Linked DNA regions of Drosophila melanogaster. The protein of the gene in region 3 interacts with the protein of the main gene of each other region in a pairwise test. Each region holds a gene or a part of one and is shown on either strand. Other genes may lie near its edges.

Region 1 (5,764 bases), about 12 Mb from region 3:
AAGTACGAGGATCCGCGGCACATTGTCCACCTGCATGGCTGCATCTTTCCCGAGCGCGATGTGGTGCGGTCCATCCTGGACGACAACGGCTCTCTGCTGGACCAGAGCAGCCTATCGGATCTGAGCGCCACGAGCAGTGGACTCCACGGCTCGGTCATTCCGGCCAATCAGCGAGCGGCCAGTGTTTTGGCCGCCATCAAGAGCGATAAGTCAGTGAGTCCCGGTTCAGCGGGTGGCAGTGGCAGTGGTGGTCAGGGATCGGTTGCGCTGCCAAACCCCTCTGCTCCCGCCACTCCGGGCAGCAGCTCGTTGCCCTGCGACTCAAACTCCAATGCCCTAATGCTGGCCGAGGGCATCAGCTTCGGCAGTGTTCCAGCCAATCTCTGCACATTCCTGATCCAGCGCGCTTGCACGAACGCCACGCTGGCCAACTACTTCTACTGGTACTTGTCCATCGAGGTGGAGGAAGTGGAGTCGGTGAGGAAGCAGGACGAGAGGGCCCACGACATGTACGCCATGGTGCTCAAGATGTTTCTGAAGGTGCTAGAGAACGGTGGGTGTAATTTAACGAAATCATGGCTCATTCTCTAATTCCCTAATTCTCTAATCCGCTCATCCGCACAGGCAACTTCAACCTGAGAGGCATCTTCTACAACCTCCGGAAGCAGCGGCGCTTCATCGACGAGCTGGTCAAACTGGTGAAACTGGTGGCCAAGGAGCCGGGAAATCGCAATAAGAAGACTGAGAAGTTCCAGAAACTGTTGGCCGAACAGGACATGTTCAAGGTGAACTTCACCAACTTCGAGCCCATTCCGTTTCCCCTGGATCCGGAGATCTACATCACCAAGATCGTGCCCATGCGCACATCGCTCTTCAAGAGCGCCCTGATGCCAGCCAAGTACGCCATGACCAACCAACAAACTCTACTCACTCACTGAATACTTCAATCCTAATCCTTAATCCTATTCGCAGGCTCACCTTTGTCACTTCGATTGCCCATCACGAGTACGCGGCCATTTTCAAGCACGGTGATGATCTGCGCCAGGATCAGCTCATCCTGCAGATGATAACTTTGATGGACAAGCTGCTGAGGCGCGAGAACCTCGACCTGAAGCTGACTCCCTACAAAGTGCTGGCCACCAGCTCCAAGCACGGCTTCCTCCAGTACGTCGACTCCTGCACCGTGGCGGAGGTGCTGGCGCGGGAGGGCAACATCCACAACTTCTTCCGCAAGCATCATCCGTGCGACAATGGACCCTACGGCATTTCGGCGGAGGTCATGGACACCTACATCAAGAGCTGCGCGGGCTACTGTGTGATCACCTATTTGCTGGGTGAGACTAAAGGAGTGTAACCAGGTGGATTCCGCTAATCCTTGGAATTTCCTCGCAGGTGTGGGCGACCGGCACTTGGACAACCTCTTGCTGACCACCAACGGCAAGCTCTTCCACATCGATTTCGGCTACATTCTGGGACGCGATCCCAAGCCCATGCCGCCGCCAATGAAGCTGAGCAAGGAAATGGTGGAGGCCATGGGCGGCATCAGCTCCGAGCATCACCACGAGTTCCGCAAGCAGTGCTACACGGCGTACCTGCACTTGCGGCGGCATGCCAACGTGATGCTCAACCTGTTCTCTCTGATGGTGGACGCCACTGTGCCGGATATCGCTCTCGAGCCCGACAAGGCGGTCAAGAAGGTGGAGGAGAACCTGCAGCTGGGCCTCACAGACGAGGAGGCAGTGCAGCACTTGCAGAGCCTCCTGGACGTGTCCATTACGGCGGTGATGCCGGCTCTGGTGGAGCAGATTCATCGGTTCACCCAATACTGGCGGAAGTAGAGGACATTGCTTGCACAAGAAATTGTGGGAGGAGCGAGTAATCCTAGTTCGGTTCAGCTGAGTTGTTTAACATCAAAAGTGTACATTAGATTAATACCTTATACTTATCAATACTTATTAATATTATTTATCCTTTAAATCCTAGTCGTAAGTTTGCTTTAGTCGTAGGTGGCCTGTAGCTAAAAGTCCGTTGTGCGGAACCAAATGTATCCACATATACTATATATCTTGTCACAATTGTAGTATAACCATTTAATCGGGCAAACATGCAGGTGCGCTCCAAGAAGCCCGTTTGGTTCCTGTTCAAGATGATGGAGCTGCTGCTGAGCCTGGGCTGCTGCCTCGTCCATTGGACCTGCTTCATGGAGGAGGGTGTGCCGCACATCTTCCTGCTGTGCGGAACGTACGGCGGCTCGGTGATCATATGCTTCATATCACTGATTGGAGCTTTCTACGCCGAGCGGCCGACGATGAAGCACGAGGCGCTGTTCGGTGGGATCTTGGGTGGCCTGCACATGGTCACCGTGTACGCCAACATGTATGTGGCCACTTTGGAGGAGTTCCGCACTGAGCGCTGGCCCAGCTTCTATGCGTGCTGTCGGGACAACGCCATTGTGGCTCTGTACGCCGGCGCCATTTATCTGATGCACTGCACCTTCGCTCTGGATCTCATGTTCTCCCACTCACGCAGTCGGGCGAATCAGAAGATGCATCCACAGCGGAGCAAGCGACCACTGCAGCTGTACTTCATCAGCCGGGGCGCGGAGGCCTATCTCAGTCGCTTCTGGTTCTTTCGGCGCATCGCCGCCAGGATGCTGACCAGCGCCCAGCCATCGGAGCATTCCGGCCGGAAGCGGCAGGTCTCGTCCTCCGAGTCGGACTCGGATGCCAAGGAGAGGGAGGAGGAGCGGATTAGGAACTCGGAGGTTTTCAAATAGCTCAAGTAATTAAATATTAACGTTCACCTGCTCGTGTGCTCACTGTAGTTGTGCCTTTTGAAAGCCCGCTGCTGTGCAGCCCTGGCGCCATCAGCTGTTCGCCGCATAACAGCCCCGTCTCTTGGAGCGCGCGCACTTTGACAGCTGTTCGTTTACAGTTCCTTTGGTTCTTGGAAGTTTGTTTGGCGCGCCGCGTGTGATTTTCGTTACTTTTGCCGGAATTGTGTCGATTTTGTGGATTTTTGCATTGGTTTAAGCCTGCGGAGGAGTCCAGCTTTAATGACGATGGCGAACGGTGCGGTGAGTTGCGGGGGGAACGCACTGCGTCGTCCACTTCGCCATTGTGCGGATGCATGGCTGGAAATTTCTGTCTGCAAACTTTTCCGATTTTCATAGTTCGATGCGTGGTGGAAACTTCTGCGGGCGGCGCTCGAGCTCTGGGTCTGTGTGCCTGTGGTTTTAGTTAGTTGCAGGTACTCGTTGCTAAAACTTTTGCTAAAAGTTAGCCGTTGCCACTAAAGTTGCCGCCCGAGGCAACACAAACAAACGAAAAAAAACGAAAAAAAACGGGACTAGCACACTCGCGGCCATGTGCATATGAACACTTAGACGCCGTGCCAAAACGAAAGGCACAGTGGGCCTTGGCTAACTCTGAAGATTGGAATTCTTCCCTTCAAGAAATTCCAATTTCTAGGACTTTCCCAATTTCCATTCTGACTTTGGAAGAGGCGGAAAACTGAGTGTGTAATCATCATTTCCCGTTTTCGCCTTTACAATTCACTCGATCTGTGCAATGTTGTATAGTAGCAGCAGCAACAGGAATCTCTTATCGGGAGCACTATGCCACATGCCACTCTTCCCGAAGAGAGCCCACTGCAGCTGCGAGTGCGAGTGAGTGGGTGGGTGTGCTACTGGCGAGCGAGCGAGCGAGCATGACTCACCGCTGCCAACTGCACTCAACTTGGCCTTTGTTATTGTCTGTGGCTGCAAGCCATCGAGCCACCGAACCACCAGGCGGCCCAGCCCCAATCCACTCCCTCCGCCCTCCGCTGCTAGCCCCAATTCCCCGGTCGTGGTCCTTCGAGCCGGTCCAAATGCAGCACGTGTTCCATTCGGTGTGCAAAGTCAGTTGGAATGCCAAGCTGGAGTTATGTGTGCGCACTTGGGGTTGTGTGGGTGTGTGTGGAAAGCGTGTGCATCTGAAAGATACATTTTCTAGATCGCAGCATGTTTGGTTTAGTTGGCAGCTAAATTTCACTACGTGCAGTTTGCGGTGGGTGTTGGGCCCAAAGTCTCGGAATTTCAACTATGTTTCGCAACAATTTAGCCGGCTGGTGATAACGATAAAACGGCGAGTTTCCGAGTCGATTGAGTGAATAAGATTAATCGTTATGGTGATGAGTTCGTTACGATGAGATACAAAGGCTGAGATAATTAGAGCAAAAATAGGTGATTCATACATACATATGTAAGTTAGCTAACTTACTTGAAGTCAATGCATGCAGAATTGTCATTGTTTGTTGAACTTATCATATGGAAATAGTAGTAATTGTGGTTGAATCTTAGCTGGCAGCACGTTCCATTAATTGGTAATCGCTTTTGGCTTTTGGCGCACTCTTTTCGTTTCGCCTCATTTCGGATTCGTGGAACCCAAAGGTGGTTCGTCTATAATTTCACAATCGACCCATGGGTGGTGCACCATTGTAATTGAAGTCTTAACTCCGACTTCCTATGTGCAGTCGCTTTTAGCTGGAACTTTTCGGGCCGTCGACGAACCCAACTCCCTAAACGAAGGTTCCCATCGTAGCACCGGAGCCCCGTAAGCCCCCATCTCGGGTTTTGGCCCCAAAAACGCTGTGTACGTGCCGCTAGTTCAGCTCCATAGATTGTCCGGTGGTAATCAGTTTACGCTGACGACGTTTGCTACCACTTTCCACCGCCACCCCTCTGGCCACGCCCCTGATCATGCAGATACAGCTGGGGTCAGCCAACTAGGCGAAATGGTATAGGAACATACTTGAAATATGATTGTTACTAGCGTATTTCAGATTCAACAACTTAGTATTTGTGCTTCTACTCCATTGTTCAAACCCAATGTGGTTACTATATGATGGCCCTATAATGCTGACCCCGTCTGTGGCGCATTCATATTCAAATCCAAGTGCAAGTCGTGTAGCTACATGCGAAACTCTGTGTAAACCGAAGTGGCTCTCATTTATTTTTCGTTCAATTCTATTTCGCTGCCGTTCGTTTTTCATGAACCGATACTAACACGAGTGCTACTATTTCAGTTGGTTACTAAACATTTAGTGCCCCCCATACTCCCCACTACCCCTCCCCCTGCCCCTGCGGATAGCCCCGCGAGCATCGAGCGCAGCGGGCTGACTAAGCGAACGAGCTGAGCGAACGGCGGCGGACGAAATGTCGCGCCATATTAACCATATTGCGCGGTGCCAAAAGGGGGAAGGCTTTGCATACTGCCCATGCCCATGCCCATGCCCCAGTATGTGGGGCTCCCTATCCCCTCGTTCCTGCCTCCTGCCTCCGTCCTGCCCCTCGCATCTGCCCGCATCTGTCGCCTGGCAGTTAGCTGCAGTTGCTCCATTTGTTTGTTTGTATTCGCCTGCCAGCCGGCAAGCAAGTACAGTGAAGCCTTGCTAGCCTGACAATATTGTGTCTGTAGGATCTACCTTTGGTGTTGCATACTTACAAGTGGCGGTTAAAATTGAAATGTTTTAAGATTACATTCGATACGGATTAGTCCATTATGAGGCTCCACTGTTCGCATTAGTTTTGTTGGAGTGTGGCGCTGTGTTTTCGCTACAGTTGTTGTTGTCCACAACGTGATAAAAACTTTAAACATTGAATTGTGATACTTCGTCACTTGGTTGTAAATTGAAATAAGACTACCTTCCAACTTCCCGCACCACCAAGTGCCACCAAGTGCAGCCCAAGAATACCCCATCCCTCCCCAACCCGCACCCCACA
Region 2 (7,824 bases), 2.6 Mb from region 3:
GCAGATTCATCTTCTTCACCGTGTCGTATGTGCGCTTGATCGTCAGCGATCCCAAGCTGTGCTGCATCAACAGCGTTCGTTGCACTGTCTGCAACACCCCCATTCTAACTGAATTTAACTGGAATTTTGAAAGGAAACCAAAACGGAAACCTGGATTTTTGGGGAGGCTAAGGTGTTATGTGTGTTGACCACTCGAACAACTGTTTACGAATGATTCGAAAGTAATCTGAAATTGGCTAGGACAGTTGAAGTTTTGTCTTAAGGCCTACTTGATTCAAAATTTATGATTAGATCTAAGCATATGTAAATAATTAAAAATAAAATATGTGTCGAGTGCCTCAACTATCAGATACCTGTTACTGGCACTGCCAATAGGAGAAGACTCGATCTAAGTAAAGCACCTCTATTTGATAGTCCCACCTAACGGCGTATACAACAGAGACCAAAACCCCCCCATAGACTAAATGCATTAAATGTAAATATTTTGAAAGATTTATTTAACCAAAAATTTCGTATCTTTTATTACACTGTTAATTTTTATCTGCCTATTGTTGAAGCACCATGAATGGGTCCACAAATCCAAAGTGTGCCTCCTTTAACACGATTCATTGCGCGGCTTCAGAGGCTCACAGGGAAGTCGGCGGTTGAGGAGAGCGTGTCGATAGACAAGGCAAAGCGGCGGCACCTCCAGGCAGCGGCACTCGATGGGTCTGCTGGTGTTCAGCTCCTCGTGCTGGCACTCCGAGAAGCTGGGATACTGGCATGCGCGACGCCGGCATCTTGTGTGTCTTCGCACCAGTTTACAATTGTTAATGGCAGCTGCCGGCGGACACTCGCATAGCTTGATCTTGGGACAGGGGCTGGTTTTGGCCTCTTGTTTGCATGGCATGGGATTGACGGTGAAGCAAGGCGCCTTCTTCGGAGCGGAAACGCACTTTTTGGTTAACACGCGGTAAGTGCGCTCAGGAGCAACCTTGCGGCAGCAGCGTTTCTGCTTCCGGAAGAAGCACTCCACCCAGTACTGGTCGAATTCGCGGTCCAGCGATTTGCTGGGCTTGTAGTACTTGTCATCCAAACGTACGGCCAAATCACAGGGATCGGTGCAATCGGGCTCTGGCTTGTAGGGTATGTCGCAACGACCCCATACACCCAGATACTTGGGATGCAGCTCGGAGAGCTCCTTGTCGGTCTTGCACGGTTTTAGCTGCTTGTAGTATTTTGGAGCACGGACAACGGGCGGTTTGCATTCCGGCTTTTTGGCATTCTCGGACTCAAACTTCTTGCACTCCCGCTTATCTTTTTTGTTCTTCGCGCACTTATCACTGACGCCATCCGTATGAGAATGTCTTCGATCCCGGGGGGGCAAACCTACACCCTTGGGTGGGCTCTGCTCGCACTTCCTGGATTTCTTATTGGCGCACCTATCGTCCGAGTGGGCAAAGCGTCGGTCGACCTGTGACAGAGCCAGAAATTGTGACTTCACTAGTCCCTTCACCTCATTAAGAAGCTGCGGGCGAAGTATTGATGAACTTTTGGCCAGAAACATAACTAAACGGAGGTTTTGGATTGGAACCGGTGCTGTGGCAGGTTGAGAGACACGAAATTTTGGTCTGTACAGGCGAACGCTCTGCTTTGATCTGGCTAACACCAAGGTGCTGAACCAATAGTTGGCAAGAAATCTAGTCCAAGGCCGCCATGATGGGATCTATTTTATTTACATTTCAACAGCTACTTCTCTATGGATTCCAGATTTAAGTGTGTAATTCCTCGAATACTGTCGCGAATTGAGCCTTTTCCGGGCCACGGACCAAATGGGTTTTCCTTGTTTGTTCTGCAGTTAATTGCGAATGGATTCGATGCCAGCGAATTTGCAATGTCCAGCTGCCTTGATTTGCAGGCAAATAACAATAAAGAAAAAATAGGCAACGCAACCTTCACTTTACGAATTTTTGCCCCAGCTTGTTTGCAAGTTAAATGCAAACAGAGTGCAGCCAGCCAAACGACAAAGCCCAACAAAAAAAAAAAAAAATAAAACAGAACGAAAAATATACATACAAAGCTGACCCCCTGCGAAAAAAAAAACAACAGAAGTCCACTAGAATAAGTATACGCCGCGTTGGTCGCCGCTCGCTGCTTGCTGTTCTCGGGGCAGTTTTCGCTTTTACGCCGCTATTTTCATTGGAGTCACTGCCGTCCGAGAGTGGCCATGCATGAGGGCTCCCATAAAATTGGGTCAATTGCTGTTAACAATTTGGCAGCGCAATCTTTTGGCCGTTTCGATTTCAAGGCGCTCAGGGGAAAAAAAATCGAAAAATAGGAAAACACAACGTGGGCCATAAAAAACGAGCACGTACGAGCGAACCTTTTGGAAAAAAACAATTTCCGCATAGAGTTGTTGGCCAGGAAAAATAGCCGCTGCAATCGGTGCTCCCCCGCGGGAGAACAGGAAAAATCCAGGGGGGGGGGAAGGTGTAGATGAAGCTGAAGTGGCTGGTCGAAAAGTTTGCTGGCCTTTACGCTAATTAATTAGTGCACTTTGTTTGTAATTCATTTTGCAAAAGCAGGGCTGGCTTAGTTAAAGTTTCCAGGGGCGAGGTTTGTTTCATAAAGCATGGACCGACTGCCTCCAATTCAAGAGCCCGGGCATCACTTTCCATTTAATCAACTGGGGAAACAGTCGACCCCAATACTTCAGCTCTTGTTGCCTTTGAGTGACTGCCAATGAAGTTACTGCCCCTAAAGCTGAGATGCACTTTAGCCGCTCCACTCCAATCGCTCCGCTCTCCGTGCAAAACTCAGACGACTAAGGAATGATTTCATTTACTTACAATCAATGAAATTGCACTGATGCAATTTTGTTTCGGCCCCAAAATAAACAGGCAAGCGGGTGGAACGGAGCTGGGATCGGGTTGTGGCAATAGGGATTCGCCAGGCAAAAGAAGATGGCGATGGCGAGGCGATGGCTAAAAAGTAACAGTTGCAGTGGGGCAATTGCGGAGGAGGAGCAACTGGGGGTCACCAACAAGCAACTACCAACCAACTCCGTTTGTCACGCTCGCCTGGCAGCCATGACAGCATTTGGTAGCCAGGAGCAGCTAATGTCTGGCGACAGTTCCCGAATCCCACGAATCCCCATGAATTCCCGTTCCTGTTGCTGGGGCTTCTCATCTTGCAGCCAGACACGTAGCCAGCCACTGTGCATTGGGTTCGGGTCGAGACGCAGAGAGATTTGTGAAAGATGTCAGGAACACTCTGCGACAGAGTCGAAAAATGAGCAGGAATCGTAGGCGAAGGTGACTGAGTCTGTTCGCCCAGCAAAGCACTCAACTCGACCAAATCCCTCTGTTTTTCAGCTTCCCCAGCAGCCAATATGAAGATAAGACCGCCGCTGCACAGCCAAGTGGAAGTAGCTTGAGATCCCAATCTCTGTCCAGGCTGGACATCTCGGTTCAAAACTCATCCATCTATTACAATGATACGCGAAACACGCGACCACAAATGGTCAGTGTGGCCGTCGGCACAGTTTCAACGGATATCCTGAATGGGCGCACATCATTCTTGTCCCTTAGTCAGTCTCACGGGAGTGAAGTGGATTTGCCTTCGTTCTACGAAAGCTTTAATCCAACTTTTCTTCCCAAGCTGCCTATCAGAAGATTTCCCCATATGCTTGTGGGGGCATCAAATGAGCCTGAGATTTCGAAAAACCAGCCAGCAATTCCACCATCTAGGCCAATTGAGCCAATATCTGAGGTGCCGTTTGTGGAACCGGCCTTTGAGAAAAAATACTCTAGGACCCGTGGATTTAGCAAGGAATTGTCCACACACAGGGATAATGAGAATGAATATATCGAGAGCACAGATGAGGTGTCTCAGATGTTGAGCTTTACTAGCTATACGGATGAATATGATAGGGCAGAACCACTCATTACCAAAACGCAAAAGTTTTATAAAAAGAGTAAGTTATCATAGCGCTGCCTTCCTTTTTACAAAAATGTTTTTTTTTTTATTTTTATTTTATTGTCATGCAATTGAATTTTGTCTAAGCTATTTTTGGCCATTTGCTTGAAATTGAGGAACCTACCAAATGCATTTCTTGTAGCTAAAACTGTAGCCTTCTTACAGGATCCCCCTTGATTCCCAAATACGATTCCGAGGATTCATATGTGGTCCCTAAGGAAACCGATCAACAGGAATCGGGTCTCTCGTTCAATGTAACTACAGTACAGTTGGCCGATACCGCATCGCCGGAATCTTTCAGCGAATACGACGGAAATCGAACGCGCAAGCAATCGTTCGACATGGAAAGTAAAAATTCGAAGGAGTCCTTTGACTTTAGCCGTGGTGGAAGACGACTTGGCTCCGGTATGGTTTTTGTAAGTGAGTGAATAGCATTCTTGTGGTGGTGAATTGAGAAACGAATGACGACTCTTGTCATCCACAGATCTATATGGTGATACCACCGGACGGCGGATTCGGTTGGGTAATCATGGTGCTGTCCTTCCTCGCCCAGCTGATAATCGATGGTTTAATTTTTACCATTGGGGTCTTATTGCCATCCATTGCCCAGGATCTGGATGTCTCCATATCGTCGGTATCGTTTGTGGCCAGTGTCCAGATTGGTTGCTACTTCACTAGCGGAGCGTTTTCTGCTGTCCTGATAAATCGTTTTGGTTTCCGAAAGGTAGCCATCGCTGGGGTCCTGTGTTCCGCAGTTTCAATACTGGCGTCCAGTTGGAGCGTCAGCTTGACCATGCTGATCTTCTTTTACAGCGTCCTTGGTAGGTTGATTCTAGATTGCTGTACGATATTCGATGAATAATAGTACTAGCCTGCGCAGGTGGTATTACGTTGAGCATGATCTGGGCAAGTTCGCAGCTGATTGTTGGCTACTACTTTGAGCGGTACCGTCCGATGGCCAATGGATTTTCCTGCAGCGGTGGCGGTGCGGGCATAGTACTCTTCACGTTCCTCAACAGCTGGCTGGTGCCAATCATCGGATGGAGGAACATGCTGCGGACGCAGGCGGGGCTGATAATGTTGATCCTGTTGATGGTGGTCGCCTATGTGGAGGTGGCTCCCACCCAGGTGGGCATGTACCATTTACCCGGTTCTTCGGATACCAGTTCGGATGAGTATTACGGCAACTTCTACGTGCATGACTATTTACGTCAATCCGCGATGACTGCTAAAAGCCGGAGTATCCTAAGTACATATGAGCCACGCCCAAAAAAGAAAGGATGCGCCAAGTTCTGCCCCTCCTGTTCGAACTGTTGTTGGAGGCGGCGGAAGAAGTCGCAAAATGCTGATGAGCAGAATCTGCTCATCCGCCCGGCGCCCCTGGAGCGGGAGGATCTCTTCTATACGGGTCCTGCCGAATACGAAAAGCCGCACAGCAAGGAGAACGTCGACGGCAAGGAGTTCCTACTAATGGGATCGGATAAGAACGTAAGTGTTGTATTAAGAATAAATTCGCTTCAACTTAAGAACACCACCAACTTTCACTTAGACCCAGCAAGTGAACTATGGCATCAAGAACATTCGTGTGGATGATGAACCCGATAGGATTTCTAGAGTTCATAGGGAACGAAGATGGTCAAACGAGAATCAGAAAAAGCAAAATTCCTGTAGGAATAGCCGGTTTATGCTCACTGTGCTCAAACTATTCGACTACCGCCTGCTGAAACAGTTTGAGTTCAAGATTCTGGTGGCGTCCGCCTTTCTGTTCCCGATGGGCTTTAATATACCCTTTGTTTACTCGTCTGCACGAACCACGATCCCCGTCGAATATGCCCGTATGATCGGCCCCATTATCGGAATTAGTAATCTTGTGATGAGAAACATCCTTGGCATCCTCGCTTACAAAAGGCGTAGTTGGACCCTCGGACTTTGTGGTTGTGGTCTAATTTTCGGTGGTGTTTCCGTTTTGATTAGCGCCTTCTATGGAGAGAACTTGATTTGGTTCCAGTTTCTGTATGGCTTCTCCTATGCTGTAGCGCCTGGTGCGTACATTTACTTACCTTACTTAAGTTTACAATATTACCCTCTCTCATTTCCATGGAATAGCTGTTTATTCCACACTGAGAGGTTTGATATACGTGAAATACCTGGGACTTTCAAAACTGACCAACGCTTTTGGGATTACCTCATTGGCCATGGGAATGGGCGCCTTTATTGGGACTACAATTGCTGGTAAATTGATAGGCATCACGGGAAACTATTCTGCTGCCTTTTGCTTTGCGGGATTATGTCTCATAGTGTCCGGATTTCTGAAGCTTCTGCTGCCCTTGCTTATTAAATGTCGCAACAGGATGGCCCAATGAGGAATTGGACTATTGGAATTGCAATATTTATTGGTTCTCCTGCTTGGAACTTGGGATTGTCTTACAACTAATAGCTTAGGCATTTTTATGACTTTTTTTTACTGGTCCTCGTTCCAAATTCTGAGTAAATGTTTGTATATCCATGTAATTGTTAATTGACCGATGTCATTAACTATTACTTCCTCCTTATTACAGATTTATTTTCAATATAATTTCAATTCAAGTGAGTTCTTTTTGGGGTTGACTTTTATTGCAATCCATTTTAAGTTATTAGTTAGCTTAGTTTACATCTAATATTAGCTTAGTTGCTGAACAACACACTTTGGCTCCACGCTTATAGGTTCAAGTGTGCTGTGTTTGGTTTTTCATTTGGTTTTGTTTCCATTTTTCCTTGTTTGGGTATGCAAATTTTCACGCTTCTTGTTTACTTTGATTTGCTTTCTAAACTTTGTACGTCTACTGTTCAATGTTTTGTTTTTTTTTTCTTCATTTTTTATATTTTATGATGATTTTTTTACATATTATTTAGAGCTAAAGCAACGAAAAAAAAAATATAAATCAATGTGAACACATAAACATAAGAATGTTTGAATCGACATCCGCAGGACGAATGACTCCAATCCTCTGTGTCCTGTGTCTAAATCTTTCTTGTGTTTTTTAATATTGTCAGTAGTCTTCCCCATCGTCGCCTCTAATTTAATCCATTTTTAATTGAAGTCTCTGCCGTCTGCGTTAAAAACAATGTCATTTGATAATGTAAAGTTAAATTAAAATCTCCTTGCGGGATGAACCACACTCCTAACGGCCTGGCTGGTCTTTCTTGTTCACACAGAAAAAGCAATTCTTACGCCTTAAATTAAAATTATATTTATATCGCCTGTGCCTCCGCCAAGTGGATCGTTCATGTGTCGGAATCGGACCTGAAATCGAATCGGACATATATATATTTTAATTGTATATACTTGTGGGGTGAGTCAAAGAACAAAAAAATATAAAAATATCAATCTATTATGGATTTTTTGTGTTATCTATATAAAAACAAAGGACTTCCCCTTTTCGATTGTGTATATAAATTTGATGTGAAATGCGAAATTGAATTAAATTCCAATTTAATTAATATTAATGAATTGAAATTGTTTGCAGTGTAACACTAATTTGATTGAGTTTTCCGCGGCGCGGCACACTTACCAATTAAAATAGGTCTGCGACCCGTGACAGTTGCGCTCGGTGCCGCACCACTTGGACTGCTGGAGCGCCGGGCACTGTCGTCCGCCCCTCTTGCCGTGCTTTATGACCTTGCGGTAGCGATGCATCTCGCCGACGCCGCAACTTTTGCTGCAGGCCGTCCACTCGGACCAGTGGCTCACGCGGCAATCACGACGACGCTGCGCGGAGCTCCGCCTGCGGGTGGCAGCACCACCGCCCACCGCACCACCGGCCTTGCCACCACCAATCGCGGATGGTGTCGGTTTGGAGGCGTTTGCATCGCTGGCATCTGCGGCAC
Region 3 (7,253 bases):
CAAGTTGTTGGCCGTGAGTATAGAGATAATTTAAGTTATGATACAGAAATCCATTTGATTGCTTTATACTTGCAGATGCTTTCATACGTCTTTTCGGCTCATTTCTTCACCGATACTTCGCTGCGTCATTTAATTTCCCTGCTCAGTTACGAGCAGGATTATGTTGCACCACTGGTGCTAAAGACACTAACTCATCTGGGGCGCTATCAGCCACTCATTGACGACCCTACACCGGCTATTCTCGACGAGCTGGCTCCGGTGTGCAAGGACTTCGCACTTATTGGAACCCCCAAGCAAGCAAAGCACGCGGTGCGATGTATTTTCGTAAACAGCCAGTCGTCGGCTTCCACTGATGGAGCAACAAGTGGAGCTGGAAGTGCGTCCACAACTACACAAACAGTGCATCCTATTTTCAACGAGATCATCGAGACGCTTCGCCTAAAACTGACACCAAACTGTGAGCATCAGCGCACAAAGATTGTGACCTTGGGTCACATTGCCTACAATATGCCACAGGCCTTCCTAACGCCCATTAAGAATATGATTGCGCGACGAATTGTCAAAGAGCTGCTTATCCAAGAAGTTCCTGCGCAGCGAGACTACGAACTGCCAGAGGACAGTGATTGGTGTGCCCAAGAGAAACTACCGCCGGACACTCTATGTAAGCTGGATGCGCTCAAGGCTATGGCCAGGTGGCTTTTGGGATTGCGTACCGATGAGCACGCTGCCCAGAAAACATTCCGAATGCTGGCGGCGTTTGTTAACCAACGAGGCGATTTGCTCGGCCAGAACCGTCTTTGCGGTGCCGAGAAATCTTGGCTGCGCCTCGGGGCAGCCTGCGCCATGCTCAAAGTGTGCGAACAAAAGGGCGTAGGTGATCAGTACAGCGCTGAGCAGTATTTGCAGCTTTCCCAGCTGATGGTGAGTAGAGACATTCATCTTGTGCTTAGAACTTAGTCTCAATGTCTATCTCGGTGTTCCCGTAGGCTGATCCGGTGCCAGAAGTTCGGGAAATCTTTGCTCGCAAGCTGCACAAAGGATTAAGCAGAAGTTTGCCCAGGAACTGTTTGCCGCTGGACTTCATGGGCTTGTATGTGCTGGCTGGTCTAGAGACTGAGAGGAAGTGAGTAGTTCAAGAAACCATCCGATCCGTTCGGAGAAGTATTGATAAATATTTTCAACAGATTGCAAGACCTTGTGCGTCACTATGCAGAAACGGATGTAAACAAACGGCGGGAATATCTCAAGACTGTGGCTATGACATGTAGGTGTTTTACTTTTGGAATCATATTGTGTATTTTAACCATTAAATCAAATTATTCCAGCTCCCGACAGCTCAACGGAGTCACAATCATTACACATACTACCTGACTACATGCTGGCTTTCGCTATTCCCGTGCTGGTCCACGATCCACGCTTCACGAATCACGAGGACTACGTACAGCTGCGCAAGATGGAGAAGTGCCTGCGTTTCATTCTGGAGCCGCTGATGGCCAAACGAGAAACGTTTGTCCATAGCTTCTACAAGCAGCTGCTGCAGCTGATAAAGCATCGCGAGTTCAGTCTGGGGTCGGACAAGCGCGACAACTATGTATGTCACTCAATCATTTTCCCAGGCTTTCCCTTCTAAATTATATTTATACATATATTTTTCGGTTATCAGAAAATGTGGGCGCTCTGCGATCTTGCCATGTACATTATCGACTCCAAGTTCAGTCCATTTGATGGCAACACGAGCACCTTTTCCATGCCGCTGGCTTTGCCAGAAATGTATTATAAAGAGCCTGCCGTTGCGAATTTCCAAAACAATGACGTCTATATACCGCTGGACGTGTATACGCTGGGAGCCAAATCCACGAGCAAAGCTGCCGCAACAGCAATGACAACGTCGCGAGCAGCAGTGGCTCCAAAGAGACCGGCGGAACAGTCAATCATGGATGATGAAAATCCGCAGGTGAGTGAGGTCCTTGGAAAATACTGAGAATGAATCTAACTAGTGTGTGAAATTTGATTTCAGGAGAACAATCTGTTCGACAACATACGAGCGGCTGACACTACGGAGCCCATGGCCAAACGAACGCGCGCAGGAGCCGCTTCAGCCAAATCATAGGGGCTGGGATGGCGCAGATTGGAGGTGGAGAGAGCGCATACTTGTTAGTTTAGTTATGTTTAGTCTAGGCGCCTAAGTTAACTAAATATTTAAGACGTAGGAAAGACCACGATAGTTGTTAAACCGACACTACCTTTATCCACACCATGCAACTCACAACTAAGCACCCAGAATTCGGATTGTTCAGTTTCGCATTCAGTATGTACTATATCAATTTTGTGAGATACACCAAAAACACAAACATCAAAAAAAGAAAAACGAAAAAAGTGTCGAAAAATCTGTTAACCGCAACTCTGTAAAAGTAATTATTTATCATTTAAAATGTTTTATCCTGTTCTTTTATAGTGTTTGATTTATTGATTGATTTTACCATTATTCTTAGACTATTGTATATCGAATAAAAAAAGGAAAGTATATCGCGCATAAGTTAAAGTACGAAGTAAAGTAATGAAAACGTAAACAGAGCCTTATTAAGTAATTAAAATTAACTTTTCTATGATCGCAGTTAATTTTTAGTTAATGTAACATCATCATAATACATACAATTGTCTCGTTAAATTCAACAAGTATGCATTCAAAATGCATTCAAAAAGAAAACCTAAAAGCGTAAGAATTGGAAAGAAAACTACAAAGATAAAAATAAAATGAATACACACATTAAACTATAAAACATGTACATTAAACAATTATTATGGTTTTTAAATTACAAATAAACGTATGATTATTATTTAAATGTTAAAATGGATATCGAAAATGGGCTTTTAGTTTAAATTATTAAAATGTTGTACTTTTTTAATATAAAGTAAGTTTAAAAAATGGCTAAAATATAATTTTTGTTTCTAACTTTTTTCTTTTCAATTTCAAAGTCGCTCTTAGGAGGGCTAAAACTAATTTGAATATTGATAACAAATGAACTATCGATAAGAGGCCGTCGATAGTTCACGGTGCAACATCAACTCTCCCATCACTAGTTCCAATTGCATTTTCTGCGTTGTTTTTTTTCGGGGGTGTGACGTTTTTCTTGTTGTTTTTGTGCTATTGTGAAATAAACCAAACAATTGTCGAGTTAAATAGACACTGATTGTTGTTTTGCCGCGCAGTTCGAACAACGAAAACTAATTCCAAACAAAGCTTACGCCGGCAAAACCACGAAATGCAGGTGGAACCAGCCGAAGTCGGCTGTGACGTCACGCATCGCCAGCAGGAGAAAAACAAAACCAATGGGATTTTCTCAACGGCAGTCAGAAGTAAAAAAAACGGGCAACCGAACGGACGGATCTACACCTCCACGCCGAAGACCTCGCATCCGAAACTTGAGCACTACGTAGGTGTTGCTAAACCCTCGGAAAAGGGGCGAGTGGGAGTGGTGACCGCCCTCGATCCGCTGATCAAAAAGGTGGCCCTTCTCTTTGGGACTCTTATCATTGGCTACAAAAGCGTCATCTTAACGAGTAAGTGTGCCAAGCTGGGGGCTAAACGTAAATATATTGTGGGTTTATTGGATTTCCATTTGTTTATTTCTGTATATCCCCGGTGTGGCGGGGGTGGGAATTCAAGGTTGCAATTGTCGGTTGCGTCGTCTTTACTCGCACTTTGTTTATATTCTCGCGTTTATAAATAGTTGAAGTTCGTGTGATCTCATAGCGGTGGTGTTTGTTCCCCCTGCATAAGCCGCCGAATAGCGAAAAAACGTCTATATAAGGAAGGCAAATTGTTTGATGCGCATTAGCCGTCTCATTTGCATACAAACGTACTGAAGACCTTAGAAAAATCGTCAAAGAGTGATTAGTTGCTTCATCTTTGAGGCAAAATGCCATTAGTTAGTTAATTGTTTGCCCAGCGGCTATTAGTTATTCATCTACGCTTAGCTTAACGGTATTTAGCACTGGGCTTTCGTCACGCGACACATACATGTATATTCTAATGTATGTAATATAAACATTAGAAGGTACCGCTAGAAGGCCCAGGAAAATAACGAATTTTACATTTCTGACGATATAGCAATCTTTATTTGCTGCAGGTTTTGCATTAGGGTGGCTCCAAAAAAAGTGCGACAAAAAATTTAATAAAGTTTAACAAAGCTCAAAGAAAAAACACATGTTTAATCAACTATTTGTTAAATAATTCAAACATATAAATTTGATATAAGCAGAAAACAAATTTTATACATTGTCGAGAAAAGAAATAATTAAACCAATACAAACGAATATTTATTTCCAATCTTTCCCATCGGTCCAAATCTATAAAAAGCGCAACCTTGCTATTTATGGTGTAACGAATGGGGTTTCTGTACATTTTTGCAAATTTCTTTGCCCACTAATTCTTTCCATTTAGCCAAATTGCTTTGATTCCCTCATAGCGTACATATCTGACTAATAAATTTGAACCACCCTAGTTATAAACCCAACATTTTGACGTGTTTATCACGCTAGGACTGATAACAGTGAAATCAATAGAACGACACTCAAAATGAGATACTAACGAGCTTTGGGCGTTCTCTTTGCAGTGCCATACATCACGGGCGATTCCATCCAGGTGCTGAGCCACCAGGTGCAGAGTAGGTGGAACGAGACCTTGGTGTGGGCCACCAGGCACCAGCTGGGCTCCAGGCTGAGTCCCCTGCTGTGTGGCCTTCTAGTGGCAGCTTTCGCGTACGGAATCGTGTACTTGGACAGCGCGGTGCCCGGCGTAAATCCCCCCTCGCCCTTTACGCCGCGTTCCAAGAAACGGTAAGCTCTGGGGAAATCACCTTTAATTATTCATTATAACATGGAGTCTTTACTTCAATTTGCAGTTTCCGCGAGGAGAAGACTGCCTCGATGCACTTGGGCTACTTGTGCGCCCTGTTCTGCGGATTTCTGGTCACGGTCTTCATGTACTTCGACTTGTACTCGTAGAACTGAATACCCATTTCCTTCCAATTAGTTCAATAAGTTCACCAGTATTAGACTTTATACGCCCACTTCGGAATTTGTATTTGTTGTAGTCCTTGAAACTGTGCAATGCTCCTGGAGAGAATCGTCAGGGGGCATTTTGAAGCTAACTTATTTCCTAGGTATATTAATTATAAGTTACTAACTCTATAAATTATTCATGATTTGTAAACTACAAAAGTACAAAATGAAACATTTCACTGTTGATTGGAGGCCAGGATCGAAAAGCTTAGGCTAGCATATTTATACCTTGTGAAAAGTACACTATCGCCTGGCCTAAAAATCTCAAGAAAACTGTATCCTTAAAAAATAAATTACTTTTGCATAGTGTTTTGCAATAAAATATACGAGGTAACATTTTCAATGCGCAGAAATTGCTGTTGCCAGTCAATGTCGCTTACCTGGTCAATCTTAAATGTTTTCAAGCGATTTTCGCCAATAAACTGGCCCACGAGATGGACAAAGCAGCCTTTTAATGAATAAAACTTTGGTTATGTAATGGTTATCAGTTTCCTGCATTTTACCTGGGCTCCAAGTACTCATAACGCCTTCGAAATCGTAGTAAATTCCCTGAAGGACGGGCCCCGATTCTTTGTTTCGCACGAGCAAGGTGTGTTCTCCACGTTTTCCCACAATGATCCGTAGCAATTTTCCTGAAAAACGATAATTAATGATTTAACTTGCCAAATTTAGCGATATTAATCATTCTGTTTAAAATGTATATAGTAATTTGATTTTGAATGTATTTCAGTTCAGACCCACCGTAAACATTCCAAATAGCATTAATTTCCGGATACATTTTTTGAGTTTTAAGGCAGAAATCCACGCGACCAATTAAACTAATTAAGTTTCGTCCTGGCTTCAACATCGGGGAGCTTGGCAACTCCGCTGATTCCTTTTTGGCTGACATTTCGCAACTGGATTTTTCCAGAATAATCGGTGATGGAACGTTCTCCTTTTTGGGCTGAACTTTCACAGCTTCCTCCACGAATCCATCGTATATTAGCTTATTATCCTTACGACAGACAGTTAGTTTTGTTTGCCGCAATTGGGTGCTATTTTTGCGCAAAAGTTCAGCGGCCGTTGGAAAACTGCGATTCAATTGCGAGACGTTGTTGGTCAGTTGGCTCTTAAATTGAGCTTGGTTGTTACCCAGAGGGGTGCGCGGTTTAACTGAAACAATGTTAATTTTTTGTTAATTTATAAATAGTTCTCAGTATTTAATTGCGGAACTTAACCTTTAGCAAACATTCTTGCAGCCATCAAATTGTAACGGCTATATTCCAATCAGCCTGACCATTTTAATTTTGTCTAAGAATACTTTTACGATTCGTTAAGTGTTGGCTAACGTTGGGAATCGACCACATTACTGAACAAATCGATTGTATCGAATACATATCGATTGCACCTCCAACTGTCCACGCGAGAGTTTTATATATTTTATTTTTACATGCATATTTGTTGATAACTGGGGTTTTCTGTGAACCGCGTTTAACTCTCAGCCAGCCATGAGCACAATATTGGAGAAAATCTCGGCCATCGAGTCGGAGGTGAGTGGAACTTGGAGTACCTGCCGATCTTACAGAAACTAACCTGTCTCGCATCCATTTACCCCGCGGATTCCCCCCTGGATTCTATCTAAATCACCGGGTTGTTGGACCACCTTCTCAACTGAATCCTAGATGGCCCGAACCCAAAAGAACAAGGCCACCTCGGCCCATTTGGGTCTACTGAAGGCGAAGCTGGCTAAGCTGCGACGCGAACTGATTTCCCCCAAAGGAGGCGGCGGCGGAACCGGCGAAGGTAGGCTCTTGGATATATAATTCAGGCAATCACTAAACATTATGTATTTCCAGCTGGCTTCGAGGTGGCCAAGACTGGAGATGCCCGGGTGGGATTCGTAGGGTTTCCTTCTGTGGGTAAATCCACACTGCTCTCCAACTTGGCTGGCGTTTACTCCGAGGTGGCGGCATACGAATTCACAACGTTGACCACTGTGCCGGGATGCATTAAGTACAAGGGCGCTAAGATCCAGCTGCTGGACTTGCCCGGTATCATTGAGGGCGCTAAGGATGGCAAGGGTCGAGGTCGTCAGGTGATTGCTGTCGCTCGCACCTGTAACCTCATTTTCATGGTGCTGGATTGCCTGAAACCGCTTGGCCACAAGAAACTCCTCGAGCATGAATTGGAGGGCTTCGGCATCCGGCTTA

What was found.
Region 1: the proteins of CG8321 (region 3) and CG30184 interact in a two-hybrid assay, tested with the Drosophila melanogaster proteins (one large-scale study listed by BioGRID).
Region 2: the proteins of CG8321 (region 3) and Targ interact in a two-hybrid assay, tested with the Drosophila melanogaster proteins (one large-scale study listed by BioGRID).

What each region holds. Positions count from the first base shown.
Region 1 is NT_033778.4:23,561,975-23,567,738, forward strand, and holds CG30184 (uncharacterized protein), read left to right. Parts: upstream 1-1,998; 5' UTR 1,999-2,104; coding exon 2,105-2,776; 3' UTR 2,777-2,806; downstream 2,807-5,764. Other genes in the region: Pi3K59F (phosphatidylinositol 3-kinase 59F), read left to right, coding at 1-553, 625-898, 973-1,334, 1,393-1,838.
Region 2 is NT_033778.4:14,665,146-14,672,969, forward strand, and holds Targ (tarag), read left to right. Parts: upstream 1-3,245; 5' UTR 3,246-3,270; coding exon 3,271-3,293; intron 3,294-3,302; exon of another isoform or gene 3,303-3,353; coding exon 3,354-3,955; intron 3,956-4,122; coding exon 4,123-4,373; coding exon of another isoform or gene 4,374-4,377; intron 4,378-4,441; coding exon 4,442-4,778; intron 4,779-4,828; coding exon 4,829-5,445; intron 5,446-5,506; coding exon 5,507-5,999; intron 6,000-6,063; coding exon 6,064-6,320; 3' UTR 6,321-6,530; downstream 6,531-7,824. Other genes in the region: CG12861 (uncharacterized protein), read right to left, coding at 1-103; CG12860 (uncharacterized protein), read right to left, coding at 596-1,546; mspo (M-spondin), read right to left, coding at 7,222-7,240, 7,509-7,824.
Region 3 is NT_033778.4:12,030,872-12,038,124, forward strand, and holds CG8321 (uncharacterized protein), read left to right. Parts: upstream 1-3,074; 5' UTR 3,075-3,263; coding exon 3,264-3,561; intron 3,562-4,616; coding exon 4,617-4,839; intron 4,840-4,904; coding exon 4,905-5,007; 3' UTR 5,008-5,357; downstream 5,358-7,253. Other genes in the region: pds5 (precocious dissociation of sisters 5), read left to right, coding at 1-13, 76-921, 987-1,123, 1,185-1,264, 1,326-1,591, 1,664-1,954, 2,018-2,110; CG43191 (uncharacterized protein), read right to left, coding at 5,358-5,512, 5,568-5,696, 5,806-6,216, 6,282-6,294; 128up (upstream of RpIII128), read left to right, coding at 6,552-6,593, 6,726-6,846, 6,900-7,253.